3 linked regions of the Lepisosteus oculatus genome follow. The protein of the gene in region 3 binds, or shares a complex with, the protein of the main gene of each other region. Links are inferred from orthologs where the notes say so. Each region holds a gene or a part of one and is shown on either strand. Other genes may lie near its edges.

Region 1 (7,365 bases), on a different chromosome or scaffold from region 3:
TTTCTCCTAACGAGGTTGTTAAGAGAAGGAGAAATTAACTTCACAGAAAAGGATGGAAACCACCTGATCCTGAAACACACTGCATGGGGACATGCTGTATCAGACAGGTGAGAAAGCCCAGCAGTGTGCTGAGCTGCTGTCCGTACTGAGCTCAGGGAAGGCTGAATCTGCACAGGCTGTCTCTCGCTCCCCTGATCCCACAACTCTGGGGTGTGGCTGGGAGCTGCTTGCATCCCAATGTTGCCCTGGGCAACCAGCGCATTCGGACAGACTCCTGGCCTCCTTCTGACCCCGTGTGACCTCACTCAGGACGAATCTCCCCAGGGCCACTGATGCTTCTTCAATCACACAGACCCTCCCAATCTCAGTCAGGCCCCCGAGCAGACTGCTTCAGCTGATGGCATTAATTCAGATAGCTGTACTCATGCCAGCCTCCTGCTGCATCAGGGCACCCTTCTTCGTGCTCCGTAATAATTCAGACAGCTCCATTTTCAATCAGCCTGCACCGCTACTTCATCCTCTCTCGTTAAGGCCTCGCTCCCGCCGAGCCCTCCTGGAGACTTTCAGGCTCCTCTGAGGACCTGCGCGGGCAGCTCTGCCTGCCCTTTCACCATGGCCCCAAGAGCTCAGCGACCACAGCCAGACAGCAGCAGGACGAAGGGAGAGAAGACCACGGAGAGGAAAAGGGAAATGAGAGCTGTGGAGCTGAGAGACAGAGAAAGGGGGAAGGAGAGTGTGGGGAGGCGGAGAGAGACAGTTGGGAGGCAGCGAGAGACAGAAGAGAGGCAGAGAGTGGCAGTAGGGGGCCGTAGAAAGGCAGAATGAGACAGGAGGGAGGCAGTAGAGAGGCAAGAGAGAGGCAGTAGGGGGGCAGAGAGAGGCAGTAGGGGGGCAGAAGGGAGGGGTTGGGGCACAGAGAGGCACAGAGAGAGTGAGATGAGAAGCAGCGATGAGGGAGGAGTGAGAGAGGACAGGAGAGGGGAACAGGAAGAGAAGAGTGGGACTCGTGTGGACAGAGGCGGGTGAGCAGGCACCTGGGGGTCCTCGGCCGGGTTGATGATTTGGCCCTGCCTGTCCATCACGCGGTACACCGGGATGCCCGAGATGACATTAGGCTGGATGAACTCCAGGTGATCCACAAAATCCGCGGACGCCCCGGGGAACTGAGGCTTCTCATCCAGGGAATCGAAGGTCTGCTGCCTCAACACCGCCTGGAAGGGAAGAAACAGACATTAATAATGGACACAGAGCAATTCAAACATGAACAGTCCGCACTCCTGCACACTGACAGCACAGAGAGACAGAGGGGTTAAAACACACACAATCCACACTCCTGCACACTGACAACACAGAGAGACAGAGGGGTTAAAACACACACAATCCACACTCCTGCACACTGACAGCACTGAGAGACAGAGGGGTTAAAACAAACAAATTACATAGTTGCACGCTGACACTACATTATTCAACGAGACCAACTTATAGTGTTCGGTTACTATTATTTTATTAAAATAATAATGACGACAGGGGTTTGGGAAAAATCCGAGATTCACGCACACCTCATCTTCCCTCGGCAACCGAACACATATTTAAGGTGACCCTATTTTACAGGCGAAACGCCTCCGCCCCCTAAATTGACCAATCAGCAGCCCAGACCACCCAGCCTCGAGCCAAAGACTCGAGGTGATCCCAAAGTTATTCTAACAACTCACAATCTCGGAACAACACAAGCGCTTTTGCAGATAAAGCGATATCAAGACAGGCTTTCCATTTATTAGACTGCTGTGTGTACACGAACTGTGTTTTTGTATATATACGCAGTTAGTCAAAGCGGTGGATTGTGATGTAGAATCCATTTAGCAGTACAACGATAAACACATTTCAGATAAACACAATCGCACTATAAAGGTAGCCTTGTGCGTAAAAGATGACAAAAGCAGACTTTTTTCAATCCCGTCATTATAGTAGTAATCATAACCTCATCACAATTTTCAAGACAACAATATCAACAACAACCATATTAATAACAACAATGCAATGTATATATTCACAACTAATAATAATAGCAATGAAACGTAGCTCTATTATTAATCTATACATGTTAAAACACCTGTCTGATTACTGCAAAAGCCGCAGTTGAAAGCCGTATTGAATTTCAGTGAACGTGGCTTCTCCACGGTTTATCGACGGGATTGGCCGTGAAAGGGGGAGAATCGTCACTCACATTAACACGGAAAGCCCTGCCCGGGCAATGTCGTAATTTGGGATAAAATCCGGTGTTGTGACAGATTGATTTGAATCCGATTCTGCACAGACTCCTGAGACCTCCAGCCGCCGCCATCTTGGATCTTGGGTCTGACAAGCTGCCCTGTGGAGCTCCAGGCACCTCAATCGTCAAGGTCCCAGAAAACACACGAGTGGCAACAAAAAAACTCAAAACAACTCAAAATATGAAAGATGGAGACATATATTTATTTTCATTGCGTAAAAAATAAGTTTATTAGTAAATCATGTTTATAAAAGAGCGCTAAAAGGCGTGTCGTTGATTATCTGCTTTGTTTGTATTCAGGCATCGCTGTAGCCTTCTATCACGACTTTCATGGATGGACCCAATTACTAGGCGCTGTGCGTCACGTGATTCTGTAAGCGGGTTTTTCTTTTATTTCTTATTTAAATACAAAAAAAGAAACTACAACAAACAAGGGTATGCACATTCAGATGTCACAACATGACAGCACAAAGGCAACATCTAATGAATGGAACAGAATAACAACTCCATGGCTAGCAGCCCTATCACCCTGCAGCTCACAACTGGCAGCCCACTGGAGCTCAGCAGGTGTGAGCCTGATCAGTACCTGGATGAGAGACCTCCTGGGAAAGCTAAGGTTGCTGCTGAAAGAGGTGTTAGTGGGGCCAGCAGGGGGTCTTCGTAGTCTGTGTGGGTTCTAATGCCCCAGTATGGTGATACTGTAAAAAGGGGACATCCTTCGGATGACATGTAAAACTTAGATCCTGACTCTCAGTGGTCATTAAAAATCCCAGGGCATTAGGTTGTTACCCTGGCGTCCTGGCCAAATTTCCCCCTGGCCTTTACCAATCACGGCCTCCTAATAATCCCCATCTCTGAACTGACTTAATCACTCTGCTCTCCTCCCCACCAAAGCTGGTGCGTTCTGGTGCATCATCCAGGTGGGGCTGCACACTGGTGGTGGTGGAGGGGAGTCCTCATTACTGTGAATCATTACCTTCTAAATCAGTTAAAACGTTATCAACAGTACAGAGGTTGCGTGGTGTTAGGGGTCACATTAAATAATATGTTTATATGGTAAATGATTTCTGTAAACCAACTCACCAAGCATATTTTTAAATATTTTTAATGAATCTGAGTATAGCTTAAATGAATTAGAATTTTTTTAAAGCACTGTGGTCTTTATACAATACAGTATAGTATTTATAAATGATCCTTCAAAACAGATATAAAGTTCTGAGCCACAGGTCAGTTGGAGCTGTTCGAAGCTAATTGCTTACAGTATATACAACATTGTTTTGGATTGTTTTAAATGTTAAATTTAGATTTTGATATTATTTTATATTTTATTAGACCTGATTTGGATAAAGGATATGTTTTTATTATTAATCGGTTAATTATTTTGGCAAAATACAAAATACATCCAAAAAAAGTAAATGGTCTAATACTGCTCCCTCTATTAATACTTTCAAGGTAGAAGTCCTTTTTTATTTAAATTCTATTAGAAATGTTAAAAATCAAAAGGCAAGACATTCAATGGAATTATGTAAAAAGTTTAATTTTCAGCTTTTATAATTGTGAATTCCTCTGGCTGTGAAGTGTGTCTATTTTTGTATCTGTATTAATATTTTGTCTCATTTTTGTATTCCTGATGCTTAAATAAAACATTAATACAATAAAAATGTTTTTGACTATTTCTAATTGCAGTAGAACATCCCTCTGAGAAGCATCTTGACTCTTATAAAATAATAATGAAACAAATATGGTGTTTAAAAAAGTTTAACGATTTAAATGATAAAGTGATTAAAAATATCTAATATCTAACTGAATTTCAGATCTGTTGTTTTTACATAGGAATTGTTCAAAAACATAAAAAATGTACAAAAACACTAGCAGTATTCACAGAAAATGTGTCTGTCAATTTGACGTTATAGGTTTAAATGGTCACAAAATTCAGCACAGTGGTGAACGTCATTTACCAGCGCCTTTGTTTAAGATTCTGGAAGGGCTCTATTTAGTGACGTATTAGGTCTGCGCCGCAGAAACACCGCACTGCTTGGTACACACGATGGAAGTGGAGGAGAGCTCGACTCACCCCACCACAGCTCTGAGGGAGTTCGGCTGCGAACAGAACCTGCTGTCAAGACCGGATGGTTCGGCCTCGTTCGTGCAGGGTATGTTCATGCTTTACATTTTTTTAAAAAAGGATTTAATTGCAAGCGCTGTCTTCACGCGAGTCCACTTGGGCACAAACAAGGTTTCGTTGTTTCTTCCCTCATGCTTCATTTTTATCTGGTTCTGAATGAGTTCGGAAGGTCCTCTTCTAGCTCTATAGTGCGTTTGGGCCCTATGTTATGCACTCTCTGTGCCCGTGCCGCTGTCTTGACCGCTCACTCTGTGCCCGTGCCGCTGTCTTGACCGGTCACTCTGTGCCCGTGCCGCTGTCTTGACCGCTCACTCTGTGTCTGTACACATGCCGCTGTCTTGACCGCTCACTCTGTGCCCGTGCCGCTGTCTTGACCGCTCACTCTGTGTCTGTACACATGCCGCTGTCTTGACCGGTCACTCTGTGCCCGTGCCGCTGTCTTGACCGCTCACTCTGTGCCCGTGCCGCTGTCTTGACCGCTCACTCTGTGTCTGTACACATGCCGCTGTCTTGACGGGTCACTCTCTGTGTGTGTGTCTGTACGTGCGGCTGTCTTGACCGCTCACTCTGTGTGTCTGCAGGAGACACCAGTGTCCTGGCTGGGGTGTACGGGCCAGCGGAGGTGAAGGTCAGTAAGGAGATTTATGATCGGGCTACAATGGAGGTTCTGATCCAGCCGAAAGTGGGCCTGCCAGGTGAGAGCTAACCGCCTGTCTCTGCTCTGCACACACCACACTGCATCAGGGTATACAGGCGGAGAGTGTTGTGTAGCGCTGACCAGCAGTGCGCTGTATTCTTTATTATCTTCAGCCATACTCTCTTTGTCTGCAGGCCATACGCACCAGCAGTACCACCTTGCAGTCTGCAACCTTATCTTGTCAGGTCTTAGAAACTAAGCAAATCTGGAACTGGACAGGACAGTGATGGGAAAACAAGGCTTCTGCAGGATGTAGCACTTGCGGACCAGTAGGGGGAACCCTTCCCTCTTCAAGTTAATTTCCAATACAAAACTAAATGTTTCATTAAAAAAGTCCTAGCATGCTGACAGGGGACACTGTGCAACAGGAGGTTCTGTCCGTCTGGTGAGATTTTAAACTGAGGTTCTGAATACTTGATTGTTAAAGATACCTTGTACTGTTCATCTCAGTAGATTAGTTAACACAAGAGGTTTGACCAAATTCCACTCTGGTCTGAAACAGTCTGCCCTACTTAAAGTTCCCCTTTATTCAGCTGGTGAGGTAGTTTCTCTCTCCTACTGATGTGCAGTTATATATGTTGCACTTTGGGATGAAAGGCTCAACATTGTGTAATAAACACATGACTAAACTGACCCTGACAGTGTGGAGAACACCCCCAGAAGAAACATTTGATGTTTGCAATATCACCTTGCAAGTGTTAGATGTCCAATACTACTGTTCGCCACAGTGTGGCAGCAGCTTCATGTATAATAACCAAACACTGATCGCTACCCTGATGGGCTGCATTAACCCTCTGCTGTCTGTGTCCTCCTCCTTCTCATCTCCTTCTCCCTTCTTTTCTTTTAACCCACCTCACCACTTTATTCTTTTGTTTCTCTCCATGTTTTTCTCTCTTTTATCTCTGTCCCGTCTCCCTCCTTCTGTCTCGAAGGTAATGAGAGCTCTAGCAGTGCAGGGTGTGGTTCACAGCTGCTTTGACGATTCAGTGCTTTGTTGTCTCACTTTGAAAATTGTCGTCCTTTGTTGCTCAAGCAAAAGCCTGGTGGTGGTGTTTTAAAGTTTGTGAACGAGAGGTTGTCAAGACTCTCTCTGTCTCTCCCTCTCTCCCGGTCTGAGTGTGCAGGAGTGGCCGAGCGCTCTCGTGAGCAGTGCGTGCGAGAGACGTGCAAGGCGGCTCTCCTCTCCTCTCTCCACCCGCGCTCCTCCCTCACCCTCGTCCTGCAGGTCGTCCATGATGATGGGGCAGTATCCTTCACAATGTGTCTGTGTGCAGGAAGACCAGTCTGTGTGTCTCTGTCTGTCTCTGTGTGCAGTAAGGCCAGTCTGTGTGTCTCTGTCTGTCTCTGTGTGCAGTAAGGCCAGTCTGTGTGTCTCTGTCTGTCTCTGTGTGCAGTAAGGCCAGTCTGTGTGTCTCTGTCTGTCTCTGTGTGCAGTAAGGCCAGTCTGTGTGTCTCTGTCTGTCTCTGTGTGCAGTAAGGCCAGTCTGTCTCTCTGAGTCCTGTTCCTTAGTGAGGACCCCAGCTGTTGGCGTGCAGTTTGAATGCTGCTTGTATGGCCTTGATGGACGCGGGACTGCCCATGCGCTGCCTTTTCTGTGGGGTGACCTGTGCCATTGACCCTGAGGGCCACATCCACACTGACCCCACTGCTGCACAGGAGAGGGTACTGTACAGTGCACAGTGTGTACAACCTTGTACATACACTGACCCCTCCAACACTGACTGCTTCACTGACTCAACAAGTGCCCCTAGACACTGGTCCGTACGGTGTATTGACTGGACCCCTAGGGATCCCCACACACTGACCAACACTGCCCCCCTAGTCTGAACCTCCTTTCCACCCATTTTTTTTATGTGACAGTCTCTCTTTCCCCATCTCTAAATCACAGGAGAGCCGCGCAGTGATGACATTTGCCATTGACAGTGCAGAGCGCAGAGTGATGATGTCATCGACCAAAGGGTCCTTCTCAGTGAGTGAGGTAAGCTGCTGGAGCTCTCAGTCTTGTGTTTGTGCACTGCAGCTCCTTTCTGTAATAACCCAGTGTCCTCTGCCTCTCCAGCTGCAGCAGTGCATCGCAGTCAGTCAGCGGGCATCAGGGAAGATCTTCCAGTTCTACAGAGACTCTGTCAGTAGGAGATACTCCAAGATGCTGTGACTCCGCCTCTGCTCCTCTCTCCCTTTCTGTGCCTTTTTGTATTAATTATAAATAAGACTGGTTCATGTGATGGTATTTGATGTGCTTTGTTACACTGACTCTCTAAAGTCTCTAAACC
Region 2 (5,991 bases), on a different chromosome or scaffold from region 3:
TTTTCACAGGAGTCCAGAAACTCAGTGTTTTGGTTTTTTTACACACATCTGAAAAGCTGCGCTGACAGAGAGGTGAGCTTTTGTCTTCAAGGAGAAATGTGATAAAGGGGAGCAAAATCCATCTACAAATTGTTTAAGTGCAGAATTTCACAAACAAAAAGACCTGAAAAAACACAGAGACAACAGGGAAAATCTTAAAAGACAAAGTTCCTCCTGTTCAACATCTTGATAAATGAGATTTTTGAAACTCTAGTAACTTATTATCACCAGATATGGTATAATTCATCTAGAATGCCCTGGATTGAGGTGCTATATTAGAAAAAAACTGACTGATCGCATTGACCGATACTGAATATGACGGACGCTGCTCCCTTTCTGGGCTGCCATCCCAGAAAGCTCACTTGGCAGAGCAGGAGGGTGGAAGAGGAGAGAGGGAGGCGTCGAGGAGACACTCACCCCAGGTCCAGCCAGATCTGCCTGCACTCCAGGTCCGGCTCCAGGCCCGCCTCCTCGTGCCCTCCGAAGTAAGTGACGTACAGACGTTCGATGGGGATCCCGAACTCCTTCGTCAGCAGCTCCAGGGCCATCTGGCACGCCAGGTGCTACAGCAGACAGACACAATCAGACTCATTCGGACAGCAGGGGGCCCTCCCAGCAGATCCTCTGCTGACAAACAGCTGTTTTTATTTTAAAAAAATAAAATTGGAAGGTGATTCAGTAAGAATCCCCCAAGACAAAGGGTTAAAGAAATAATGAATAAAAAAGAAGCCAGGAATGCCAAGGGAGGTGCAGTGGTTAGTGTTGTTGCCTGGCTGTGCTGGGGCCCTGGGCTCAGTTCTGGACCTGTACGTTCTCTCTGTGTTTGTGTGGGTTTCCTCCCACAGTCCAAAGACATGCTGGTGGGTTAACTGGTTTCTGGGAAACTGCCCCCGACGTGAGTGTGTGTGTCTGTGTGTGCCCTGCAATGGACTGGCGTCTAGTCCAGGGTGTGTTCTGCCTCGCACCCACTGACTGCTGGGAAAGACTCCAGTTTCCCATCGACCCTGAGCTGGATAAAGCTGCTAGAAAATGGATGGATGGAATAAACTAGAAACATTAGCAAAGCTGCAGCTTGGGGGTTCCAGACTGGGGCTCCCGGGGTGCGCCCCTCACCTTGAAGTAGTCCCCGAAGGACCAGGAGCCCAGCATCTCGAAGAAGGTGTGGTGGTAGACGTCCTTGCCCACGTCGTCCAGGTCGTTGTGCTTGCCGCCGGCGCGGATGCACTTCTGCGTGTTGGCAGCGCGGCGCAGCTTGGCCATGGGGTGGGCGGGGTCGATGGTGTTCAGGAAGATGGGCTTGAACTGCGCGGGGAGAGAGCGAGAGGGAGACTGAGGACAGGCCGCCGAGAGAGGGGACCAGAGCCAGAACGCGGGGGAGGAAGAACGAGAGTCCGCTCGTGCCAGAGAGGGACGCAGGCATGCCCCCTTCTCCAGTTGTGGGCGCCCTTGCAGAGCGAGGGGTTCCCAGACCCGGACGTGGGTGCTCAGTGACCGGGGGGACACCTGCCTGGTTCATGCCGGCGTTGGCGAAGAGCAGCGTGGGGTCATCCAGCGGGATGGTGGAGGAGGAGTGCACATACTGGTGCTCGTGCCTCTGGAAGAAGGCGATGAACCTCTCCCGGATCTGCGCGGCCGTCAGCGACGAGTCCATCGTGGAAGCAGCTTCTGGAAGGGCGGGACAGAGAGGGGCGCGCGGGGTCAGAGAGGGCGGCAGGCCTGCGCCCCCGGGGCATTCCCCAACCTGTCGGAACCTGTTCCCAGCAACAGCCCACCTGGGAACAGCTGGGCTGCAGCAAATCTCCCCAGACACAATAAAGACTAAACTGCCAAAGAATGACGTCACAGTCGAGCTCTTCGTCTGGATGCACACAAGCAGGGAGAAACGAGCGCTGCCTTCTTGCAAATAACTTATACCTGCTTCTCTCCTCAATGAACTTCAAGAGCACACGATAGTGCACGTTAACAGCGCAGCCTCGCTCCCTCTGAACTGCTCAAGCACTCACACCCCAGGTGACCCTGGCCTCCCTTACACCTTGCTCTCACGCACTTCAGTGACGAGCCGGCGAGCAACAGGCCTGCAGGCGGCACCTCGTCCACGCCTGTGCGGGCAGCTCTGCAGACACCCCCCCGCGAGGACTCGGCGGGGCTTTTAAAACACGCCGCGCTGTCACGTGATGCGACAGGGCACTGCATGGTTTTTACCCGCGGGGGGGTGTCCACGTTTCGCGAGTGTAGGCTTTGCAGAAAGTGTCCAAATCGTCACACCTCACCGCTGGAATCGATTCGATCGCGTCTTCAACCCGCCCGCCTCTACCCTGAGCTTCACCTCTGCAGCTTCCGAACAGCAAGACTGCGCTGAACCCCGCAAGGACTTGACTCTCGGCTCTTTATTCCTGTAGTGCATGCGCTACTTCTGAGAGCAAATATATGTACAATCACAGTAGTTACTTACGATAACACTGCCTTTTTTTTTTGTGGAGACGTGATAAGGAATAATGACGTCTGCACTTTTATTTGCTGAAACATATGACTGAATGATCATGTTTTCGTGGTGCCACAAAAACACCGCCGCTTCTGACAGCAGGCTTACGACGCAATCGAGCGTCGGACATTAATATCACGGTCACAAACACAAATTATATTGTATGCATCTTCTACCTGCACAGAACGATCCACCAGTTACGGAACAAAATGTCTCACATTCGCTCGTACTGTAACATCAGAAATAATCCATCAGAAACCTTTATGTGGGTTCAGACAAAAGAAATCAGATTTATAGAAGCTACGTTAGAGTCACCTGACCAAAATAACCCTCAACAACCAGGCAGAGCTCGTAATAGCTTATCATAATGATACATAATCAATAAAACCACACATATTAGGAACGAACACATAAAATCTAGCCTTTAATTCTCAAAAAAGAAGCACAATACAGTAGACATAACTCACATGTAGTCTGAAACCCTCCAATCTCCACACGCTCAGCAGACCACTGCCTCGCACCGGCAAAACCACACGCCTTACCCCTTTGCCCCGCCTTTCCCTGGTGGCCATTGGTTCGCTGCAGCAGGAAGTTAACTGTTTCTCGGTGCGGATTGGCTGCACGGGATGTCAGTCTTACGCAGAGGCACAAACCGGTTATTTTCGGCCGCGCGGAGACGCCGAGTGCGGCTGATGCAATTTATCCGTAAGTCGGCTCGTGTGGAAGAGCTGCAGCGCATAGCGCGTACTGCAGATCTGTCATTAACCCGGTGTGGCGCCCACGTACTCGGACTTTCAGGGCTTTATACAGCTGAAACACGAGTTTTTAAAAAGGCAGTGTTAATAACCTTCCATTCTAATGTTATGCATGTTCGTTGCATGCACATAGGTCTTGAAACAACAATAGTTTTAAGAAAATAACGCTCAGTATACAGTCTGTTTTTGCTTGTAGTCCTTAACACGCAGGGACACAACATGCAGAAAAAAATAGGGTGGGTACTGATCACGCTCCAAAGAGCTGGACAGCAATACTGCTGGCTTGTCGTGATCTCATCAGATCTCACAACCTCATCAGAGCTGGGCATGGCCAGTACTGGGGTGGGAGCCCTCTGAAGGAAACAGGTTGCTGCTGTAACAGGTGTTGGTACTCCAGCAGGAGGCGATCTTTCACCTGGCTCAAAGTATGCAAACCGATGCCCCAGTATGGTGACTGGCAGCACGGTGCTGTAGGACCCTCACATATGACCTTACACTAAGGCTTGGTCATGAAGGATCCCACAATAGGCCTCATAAGAGGGTGTCATCTTGGTGTCCTGTCTAATTTAATTTAGATCAGGGGCATCTCCAATCTGGCCTACCTACTGGTTAAGCAGTGGTCTTATTAGGGTACAGTGGTACAGTAGTTAGCTTTGCTATAGTGTAGTGCTTGGAGTCTGGGTTCCATTCCTGGGTGTGCTTCCTGTGTGGGTTTCCTCCCACAGTCCAAACACAAACTGGCAGCTTGGAAAGTTGGCCCTGGTGCGAGTGTGTCCTGCCTTGTATCCCTTGCTTGCCGGGATTAAAAAATACTTACATATATTAGAATAAAAAACTAAATCTTGTAAATGCCGTCTCTACATTTTATCATCTGTTGCCCTTTCTCGGGAAGTAACGTTGTGACGTCATACGAAAACGTTTTGCTCGTCAAAATTACTAACGGCCATGATCTCGAAAAGTCAGTATTTACAACAGAAACTCATACATCTAGAATAACTTAATATACTGCATGCCGTATCGGCGCGGAAAGGCAATTATATCCGGCGCACATCCCTCTCCTCCAAAACCTTCGTTCGGAGGTCTTTCCGTATCCCATGAACCTCTGCCCGCAGTGTACAGGAAGTGTAATCTACAAAAGACTATTGCGCACTGTTGTCTATGGTATTTCCACACCAGCCATGCCGGTGGATACCAAGCGAGTGAGGGGTCCAGATGAGTCTCAGTCTCCGTTACTTTTCGTCCTCCCGAGCACCAGGAAGCCTGAATGTCCGCAGGAAGGCAGGGAGGACGGGAGGCAGCGGAGCCAGGCCGACGTGCGGCCCGTATTTGCGCGATGCGGACTGATCAGCCAGGCAAAGGGGTCTGCCTACATCGAGGCGGGGAACACGAAGCTGATCTGCTCGGTGTACGGACCACGGGAGACCGACAGGAAGGACGAGGTGGACATGAAGTCCGGCAGGCTGGTGTGTGACTTTCGCTTCGCCCCGTTTTCGTGCCCGAAGAGGGGCTCCTGGATCCAGGGCAGCGAAGAGAAGGATCTGTCTCTGGGGATGCTGGAGAGCCTGCTGCCCGCAGCCTGTCTGCACAAGTACCCCCGCTCGCAGATCGAGGTCAACGTGGTGGCGCTGGAGCACGACGGCTCGGTTCTGGCCCACGCCGTCACCTGCGCCTCCCTGGCGCTGGCGGACGCCGGGATCGAGATGTACGACCTGGTCCTGGGCTGCGCGCTGAGGCAGGACGGGCCCTCCTTCCTCATCGACCCCACTTTCGCGGAGGAGAGCGGCGCCCAGTCCGCCGGGTCTGGAGAGAACCAGGGCAGGGTGACTGTGGCTCTGCTGCCCAGCCTCCACCAGGTGTCGGGGCTGCAGTCGGACGGGGAGATGGCGGAGGACACGCTGGTGGGGGCTGTGAAAGCCTGCATCGAGGGGTGCCAGCGCCTGTACCCCGTTATCCAGCAGGCCTTGGCGAGGGCTGTGCGGAGGAAAGCGCCTCCGACAGCCGTCTGAGGGCGAACTTGCTGGAGCTGCCGGACAGCGAGTGAACTTGAAGACGCGCTTCTTTCTGTCGGCGAAGCGTTTCTCAGAGACGAGATATTTATTTTTGTCATATACATCACGGACGATTTGTGCCGTCTGATTTTTCTATTAAACGTTCCTGTGAGTCAGTTCGTTTGCTTTTCCTTTTTCTTTTCCCGTGCGACAAACGCAAAACTGTATTTTGCAAAAACACTGAACACGTAGAAAGTGAGGATCCCTCGAGATCCAGTGACACCGACATCAGGGAATTATTCCCGACTCTGTTTTGTATGGATGTGTGTGTGTGTGGGAGTTGATCCTCCTGAATTGTCCAAAACTATTTTCATTCATAAAAACTTGATCGTTTATTCAGATACTTGTTTTCCTTTCAAATGGACACCTGACACACTTGAATGAAGCTCTTGAGTAAATCAGAAGTCTGTCTATCAAGAGACAGTTTTGTGTGTGTGCAGTGTGACTGGTTACAGACCCTGATCAACACTAATCTTGGACTCATGAAGGCTATTTTCTGTCAATGAGTCTACAAACTTGTTCACCATGGTCTTTGAAAGCAGAACTCCATGTTCAGTATTTCCTTTTAGATTTCTGAAAATGTTTTGCCAGTGTATACTTACAGGTGTGATTCAGAAATATTTTAGTTACCTCTTGAGTATATCTGCTCCAATAGCAGTAGTTAAAA
Region 3 (7,690 bases):
AAAAATGTATTACCAAACCTATTTTGAGGAAGATTCTATTAATACCTAAAACATTTCAATTGTCTAAGTTAAACATCTGTTACCGAACCCTTGATCTAACTCTCCCCGAGTTGATGCCTGCTTTCAAAATGAACAATAGCATTATAACGTTCTGCTGTTCAAGCTTTATTTTTGTATGCACCACAACTCAAATCTTTAATATGAACAGAATATATTCAATTGACATTTTTTATTTCAATAAAATTTACTCCATTTCCAGAATAGCTTTACAACTCGGAACGAAAACATCTTTGGTCCCACGCACAGGCTGGATTACACTCAAACTGAGATCTTCACTTCAGCTAGGATGATGCTTCATTAGATTGCAAACAACTGAATGAATCAACTTACATAGCGCCTTTAAAAGTGCTTTACAGAAAGTTCTCTTTTTCGACTCGGAAGCTGGAGATCTTATGCTACTTGCGAAACACAGCAGTTGAAAGGCAACCTCCAACGTGCTTAGGAATTGAAACCAAAAGATTGAAGTCAGGGGTCTAATTATGTAATAGAGCAAAGCTGAAATGAAGTTGGGAACCCCTACTACAGAAGGTGTGACCTAAGATAACTGTAGCTCGTGATGGTAATATATAATGGCATATCCACAAAAACAGATTTGGGGGTTTTAAATTGCCTTTAGGGTTGAAATAAGACACAGCGAGACATGGACATTCTACTCCTTCTTCCTTCTTCTATAGTAGACAAGAACCTGGAATTACACAGCCCAAGAGCTGGTCACGATAGAAGAACTGGTGGTGTAGGGAGTAGTCCAGCTGCTCCCAAAAGGTATGGTGTGACGGCTGCTTTCTGAGCCCGCACCCACCTCACCCACACTGCAGCGCCTACTCAGATTCCCATCTGGGACTCGGAACACCCACAACACATTTTTGTTCTAATGGCTTCAAACATTGTACTTTTGTTTCCTATTACTAGACAACCTATTATATTTGAGAAAAACTAATGACTAAAAACTTCCTGAAACCCGTTTGAAGAGTTATAGCCTAATCACAGAAACGAGCTACAACTTTGCTTAAGTAGCACTGACAAAATTCTGCAGTTATGTCTCTGTCATTGTACTGCAGGAGACAAACGCTGCCAGTTAAATGTCGGAACCAAGCAATTTATTTATATGACGCTGCATGGCTTTTATGGTCTACATAAAACAGTTTCTTTGTAATACACAGATAAAGATTAGCTGCCATGAGAAGCCTGTCAGTATGATTTATTTTTTTGTAGGAACATTTTTAGCATAAAATGTAATTTAAGTTTAAAACCAAATTACTCTGGGTCTTTTTTCTTTGATTTTAAAGCCTGTGCACTGTAGCTTTTTAACCATTTTAACGCAGTAGCTAACTTGGTAGCGGTAGTACTCCCGCACTCCGGCGGACAGAACAATTTGATCACTAAGTGCATCTACATATGGTAACCTCACAGTCTGCCCCCTCCCCAGAAACGTCCAGTCTACCACACAGCCCCTGTACTCGTACTACAGAGCACGTACCTGAACATTCGGCCTGTTTCGTTTCGTTGCCCCTTCAAAAGCCAGGTAGGACAGAGAAGCTTGTTCACTTCCGCCAACGTCGACCTTGAAAACGTCGCCGGACTTTGCTGTCACAATACCAATGACACACTCCCCCTTCGCCGGGACGTACTGAAATATAAAAAAGGTATTTCTCACAATGCCAGATCTGTAAAATACACCAGACTTGTTTTGCCTGGGCAAAGCCTGCTGTTTATGGGCAAATCAGTCCGAAGATGTCTCATGGATGTCTGGTCTCCTGTTGAATGCAGCTGTATCCCTCATAAATCAGGGGAACATTTGTCATTTTCCTTTTAAATAGTACCTTTAAGAGCAATATTCTCAAGGCACTTGTAAAATATAAAAAGCACGTGTCACAGTAAAATTAATGAGCATTACACGGCAGAATCAGAAAAAAACTCAATCACAACCAAATAACTGAAGAAAATAAGGATAGATTTAAAAGCACCCAGTGTGGCTGAGTCCCTGGTTATTCTGAGATGGTTATGGAGTATTGGGGTGCAGCAACAGAGGGCCCCGTATTTGCCAGAGTGTGGAATAAGAGTGGAAACACAGCAAACCAGAAATCAGCTGACAGGAGGCCGCCTGGAGGGGAGGTAACAGTCTGCTAGATACTGAAGAACCAAAGCACATCTAGTCTTGAACTCAAGAAGAAATATTTCAAAATAAGAAAGGTTAAAAATACCATTCGCCCCATCTAGCACATTTGGTTATCTTTAATCTTAAACCAGATAGGTCAGCTGTAAACATTCTCGTTAAAAGCCCACAGTAGTACTGTGAGAGCATTTTACACCTCAGGCAATCATCTTTAGTTAAAGCAGCATATACAAATAACATTCTTATATGGTAAAATATTAAATTATATCAGCATGATTAAACAAATCTAAAAGACCTAACAGAGACCCGTCTGATGTACTACGTGTTTTAGGTAATAGTAAATCGAACTTTGCTATTAGTAGTTTGTGACTATGCAGAAGAAGCGCACTGCAGACAGAAACAGGTTGACAATATATGCAGGTGAATACTGGTCTCAGAAACGAGATGTGTTCTTGTTCTTGTGTAAATGTCTACATGAATGACATCAACCACGTGGGCGATTGCAAGCATTTTCATATAGATTAACTTCTTTAAATAACTTAAAAATAATTAAACAAGTGAACTTCTGTTGTTCATACGTTATACCAAACATTATATTTTACGCTCAGAAAAACTGCTGTGATGGATATCCACTCTTTACCCGTTTTTGCTGGGAATCTATCCAGTACAGATTCGGCTCCTTGTGACGCAAAATGCCACTTTTGCAAACAAGGATTTCATCTCCATTACGGCGCAGCCCGGGTCCACAAATAACTTTATCTTGTATATTACTTTCGGAACCTGGTGATTCAAACGAAAAAACATCGCCAGGTAGTAAAACCTCGCCAACTCTTTCTTTAAAGCTGTCCAGCATTGCTTCTGTGTTTTTATCTCAACAGTAACACGCGTTTCCGGCGGAGGGGAAACAGTGTTGCACGCAGAGCGCCCTGCCGGAAGAAGCGGTTGAGATCTCCGCGCAGCGACTGCGGCTCTGGTTAAGTGACGTCACGCATCAGTTAGCTGTTGTGCTGCGGAATTAGAAAAGTTCCCTACAAGTCAAAGAAAAAGGAACACGTGAAACGAATAGTTTTGAAAAAATACAATTCATATCAGGGCCTTACCACTTGTTTATTTGGAGTCCTCTGGTTTCTTCCTCATTTTCATTCTGGTAAAGCATTTCTGTTTTACACCACGGATGCGTTGGTTAACTCATTTTTAATTTTTAATTAAAAAACGGGGGACAATTGCTATTGTTCGCATTCTGGTGTTGTCACACGCTTACTTGCCTTACTCCGTGAATCTCACTAACTGTTCTTATACATAATAATAATATTAATAATAATAAATATAATGATAATTACACTAATTTGGTACTTTACTAGACCTATACAGGTAGGTAATAGGGACTCCCCTCCATCACCAATGTGCAGCCCCACCTGGATGATGCGACGGCAGCAGTAGTGCACCAGTACGCTCACCACACACCAATTATTTCATAAATGGGGAGTATTAGGAAGCAAAGATTGGTAAAGCGGGGGGGGCTTTAGTCAGGTTAAAATAACACCTGTACTATTTTCTAGAAACGCCCTAGGATTTTTAATGAGAACGGGGAGCCAGGACCTCGGTTTTACGCCTCATCCCAAGGACGGCACATTTCTTACAGTATGGCGCCCCCGTCACTATATGGGGGCGTTAGGACCTTCACAGACCTCAGGGTGAGCACCTTCTACTGGTGTCACTAGTAACAGCTCTTCTAGCAGTAACCGTACCTTTCCCAGGAGGTCTCCCAACCAGCTACTGGCCAGGCTCAAACCTGTTGAGCTTCAGTGGGTTGCCAGTTGTGAGTTGTAAATTGCAGGGTGACATAGCTGTTGGTAATAAAGCCTGTGAGAATTCTATGGGAATACACGGGTTCGCGTTAGAAAATAAATGACAACGTCCATAGAATAACTATTTATTTCTTTGTTTTTGCTGGAGTCGATTCAAGCTGTTATTGATGTTAGGACCAAAAAGTTGTGTAGCACACTTGGAATCTGACAGCTAGATCTCTCATACCCTCAGTGTCTCTTTCTGTTGGTTCCCAGCCGCAATTTCTCGTTGGCTGCGGCCAGGACAGGCTGCCTGACATCATACAGCCACAGGAGAGAGTAAAGCTGAGCTGAGCAGGTCTATGCAGAACTGCAGAAATCTGCGCAGAACTTCAGAAATCTGCGCCAGAGGGCTGAGATTATTCAAACCTGACCTGCAGCGACGTCTGTTGTATCAAACAAAAAACAGCACTGCAGTACGAAAGCGCGTTCCTGTTATCAAGGAAAAGGTATATCCCATGTGTTGTCTCGTAATTACGAGATAATTTACTATGTACTAATAATGTACCTTCTCGTCATAACACGATAATTGTTCTCGTAGGTACTATATGCCAAAGATACTTTGAATGTATGAACAACCTAATACATTGTGCAATGACAGCGCACAGAAGCGCAGTTGAAACTTTGGGTTTAGAGTTCATGACAATGTTCAACGCTGCAGACGGTGCACGCATGCGCTTTCGACTTTTGGTTTAGATACAATGTAGTTACTAATTTGTACCTAATGTAAACACAATCATTATAACCATAAGAACACTCAGATTTATCGTTAAACAAGGAGTATAGCATGCAATTGAATCCACTGCTTAAAACTGAAAGTCAACTAATATGTATTGAATGACATATTATTTGGGATTCTGCTTGTGCTTTTAAATACTTCTTAATACAATTCTCTCCATATTTGTATATAAGTTAAATGTGTCTAATCTCAAACCTTATACTATAAGATCAAATTCACACACACTACACTTCTAAATCTAAAGATGATTTTAAATTTTCCACATTCGTTCTTAAACCACAATACAGATCAAGGTTCAGTACTTGGTGTGCCCTCCATGGGCCTTTAGTAAAAAGCTATGTTCTGTGTTATGTCTTGTACCTGCCCGCAGTGTAAACATGCCAGATGGGACAATAAAGGAATTAAATAATTTAGCTGAGTATAATGTAGTGGATATGTTCACCTAACACAGAAAAGGTCCTCAGTTCATAACTGGGTGTAGACAAGCTGAATTGTCAATTGGCCTGGGTTTGATTCCTGGGCAACACAAGACTCCATCCCTACTAAAGAGGCTGAATGGCCTTCACTAATCCGTAATTATTCTTATGGGTTTATGAGATCTATTGATGCTGACAGGCCTATGACCACAAAGAATTCGACACCTACAGTAGCTACATTTAAGCTTTCCTCAATGAACAGGTTCCAGCTGTTGAGAAAATCCAGTCAAACAACAGTAAAGGTCGTTGAATGCAAAGAGATTTTTAGGCAGAATGGAAACTTTCTTCAAAAATGCGAAAAAGAGTCTTGGAGCATAGCAGTGCTAGGTTTTCCTCTTTGAAGCTGAATCACAGAGCGATCCAGGTTCCAGGGAGGTAAAGAGAGGAGTTTGAGAGCAACAAAGTGTGAAAAGGTTGGCTAGATAATTCAGGGCAGTAAATGTAACAACTCCCTTATCTGCAGAAACCTGAGGCTTCATTCCTTTCTGTTTATAAGAGTGGTTACAGCGATGAAGTAATATTGGAGTTGGGCAATTTAAGAGTAAACAGAAAAAAGTATGATTGTAAATTTACATTAGGTATACATACAGTACATTTTAAAAAAGGTTTAGTATTAAGTAAATATGAGTTCAGAGCAGGTCAAAGTTTAGTTTCTTTGTGACTGCAAGGCTGCATTATTTAATACTGTCTTTCCCTGAGACTCTTTTAAAACTAAAACGCTTCATTTTAGAAAGATCATATCTACCAGATTAGACAGTCTTTTATAAAGCTACTGTATCCAAGATCTTCTATTTACATTCACGATGTCTTGCCATTAGATGTTTTGGCTGAGCTCCTCCGTAGCACAGTGACTGGTACTATACATTTTTTGGCCGCTACGAAATCACATTGTAATGGATTTCTATGCTTATTTACATTTTCGCTTAATGGTTTGAAGACAACAATTATAACTCCAAAAGATTTTCAGTTTTGAGTCATCGATTAATCACCTTTTTCGTGTGCATTTAGACCTGGCTTTTATTACCATTGACTGATAATAATAACTTTTATTTATAAAGTGCCTTTCCAATCCAAAGGATGCTGCACATCATGAATAAAGAAAAAGACAAGAAAAGTACAATAAAAGTAAATGAAAAAAAAACAAAAGCACACAGGTTTTTACAAACTGACTGTAGGCAATCAGACATAGACCTAATAGTAAAGGTAAGTTATAAGTTTAGATTTGAAGAGAGTTAAAAGATGTTGTCTCTCGCAAAAGTCTGGGGAAGGCCATTCCACAACATTGGAGTAGCTGCAGATAGGGCACGGTCACCAAAAGTCTGTGATTTAGTCCTGGTGACAGTGAGTAAATGTCAGGCCTCAACTGAATGGAGTCTACAGGGGGGGAGTGAAAACATGGAGGATTTCAGAGAGGTACGATGGAGACAGATTGTTTAGAGCCTACAAAATCAACAACAAGATCTTGTATTGAATACGGAACTGTATAGGCAACCAATGCAAAGACTTAAGTGTAGGAGTGATACAGTATGCTGCCAGAGCCTGGTGTGAGTTAGTAGCCTAGCTGCCAAGTTTTTAACATACTGCATTGCAACTTGTTAAGAAGAGGGTTAGAGAGCCCATATAGTAACGAGTTGCAGGAATAAAGCCTTGATGTTATGAATGCATGAATCAGGCACTCAGCATTGGACATTGATAAAAATTGCCTAATGCGGGAAATGTTTCTAAGGTGAAAGAAAGATGTCTTAATCAAATTTTTCACATGTGGGTCAAAAGATACTAGAGGATCAAGTAGATTCTCTGAGGCTGATCATTTTTAAGTCCGAATTGTTTAAAATCTATTCATAAGCAACACCTTCCCACCCCTCCAAGTTCACCACAAACACAAAGGAAGGATGCAGAAATCGGGTTTTATTAGTATTAATATCAAGACACATACAAGGGTTTTTCTCCTCGAGGTGAAAGGACACTGACCATTCCTCAGCATGTCCCATCCTTGGCGATTAAGATGTCCGCCTTGGTCAGCCTGGAGATACAAGAACATGAAACATATATAAATATGGCTAACACAGTGTATCAGCTGATTTCACACCTAGTCTTTATTTTACACATTCTTTAAAAGTGTTACACATACAATGCGTGCTTAGAAAGGCAGTGTGGCCTATATCACACTATATTAACACACTATATTAAACATTTATCACACATTGGATCCAGGCATCATTGTTGCGGTGGTTACAAATGACCAAAGAGCAAGGTTGACATGTCCATACATAGTTTTTACAAATTGACCAGAAGAAGACTTGTCTTACTAATGAACAAATATGAAAAAATGTTGTTTTTATTTTATATGCACTATTAATCTTATGTCTTCATGCATATAACCTGATTATAACACACCCAAAACCTTTGAGGTAATTGTGGACTTCAGGCACTCACAGGATCTCAAATCCCCCAT

What was found.
Region 1: exosc3 (region 3) and exosc5 share a complex: the UniProt entries of both Homo sapiens proteins name them as parts of the RNA exosome core complex. The link is inferred for Lepisosteus oculatus from reciprocal best matches to the Homo sapiens genes EXOSC3 and EXOSC5.
Region 2: exosc3 (region 3) and exosc6 share a complex: the UniProt entries of both Homo sapiens proteins name them as parts of the RNA exosome core complex. The link is inferred for Lepisosteus oculatus from reciprocal best matches to the Homo sapiens genes EXOSC3 and EXOSC6.

The regions. Positions count from the first base shown.
Region 1 is NC_090698.1:6,248,955-6,256,319, reverse strand, and holds exosc5 (exosome complex component RRP46), read left to right. Parts: upstream 1-4,282; 5' UTR 4,283-4,316; coding exon 4,317-4,422; intron 4,423-4,975; coding exon 4,976-5,089; intron 5,090-6,215; coding exon 6,216-6,337; intron 6,338-6,613; coding exon 6,614-6,754; intron 6,755-6,980; coding exon 6,981-7,070; intron 7,071-7,151; coding exon 7,152-7,247; 3' UTR 7,248-7,317; downstream 7,318-7,365. Other genes in the region: bckdha (2-oxoisovalerate dehydrogenase subunit alpha, mitochondrial), read right to left, coding at 1,035-1,211, 2,225-2,341. UniProt on the Homo sapiens protein: Non-catalytic component of the RNA exosome complex which has 3'->5' exoribonuclease activity and participates in a multitude of cellular RNA processing and degradation events.
Region 2 is NC_090715.1:1,374,429-1,380,419, reverse strand, and holds exosc6 (exosome complex component MTR3), read left to right. Parts: upstream 1-4,412; 5' UTR 4,413-4,454; coding exon 4,455-5,282; 3' UTR 5,283-5,440; downstream 5,441-5,991. Other genes in the region: aars1 (alanine--tRNA ligase, cytoplasmic), read right to left, coding at 457-602, 1,153-1,341, 1,547-1,690. UniProt on the Homo sapiens protein: Non-catalytic component of the RNA exosome complex which has 3'->5' exoribonuclease activity and participates in a multitude of cellular RNA processing and degradation events.
Region 3 is NC_090696.1:33,368,955-33,376,644, forward strand, and holds the start of exosc3 (exosome complex component RRP40), read right to left. Parts: upstream 3,052-7,690; 5' UTR 3,027-3,051; coding exon 2,814-3,026; intron 1,688-2,813; coding exon 1,538-1,687; intron 1-1,537. Other genes in the region: myosin heavy chain, clone 203-like, read left to right, coding at 3,052-3,119; probable pancreatic secretory proteinase inhibitor, read right to left, coding at 7,213-7,258. UniProt on the Homo sapiens protein: Non-catalytic component of the RNA exosome complex which has 3'->5' exoribonuclease activity and participates in a multitude of cellular RNA processing and degradation events.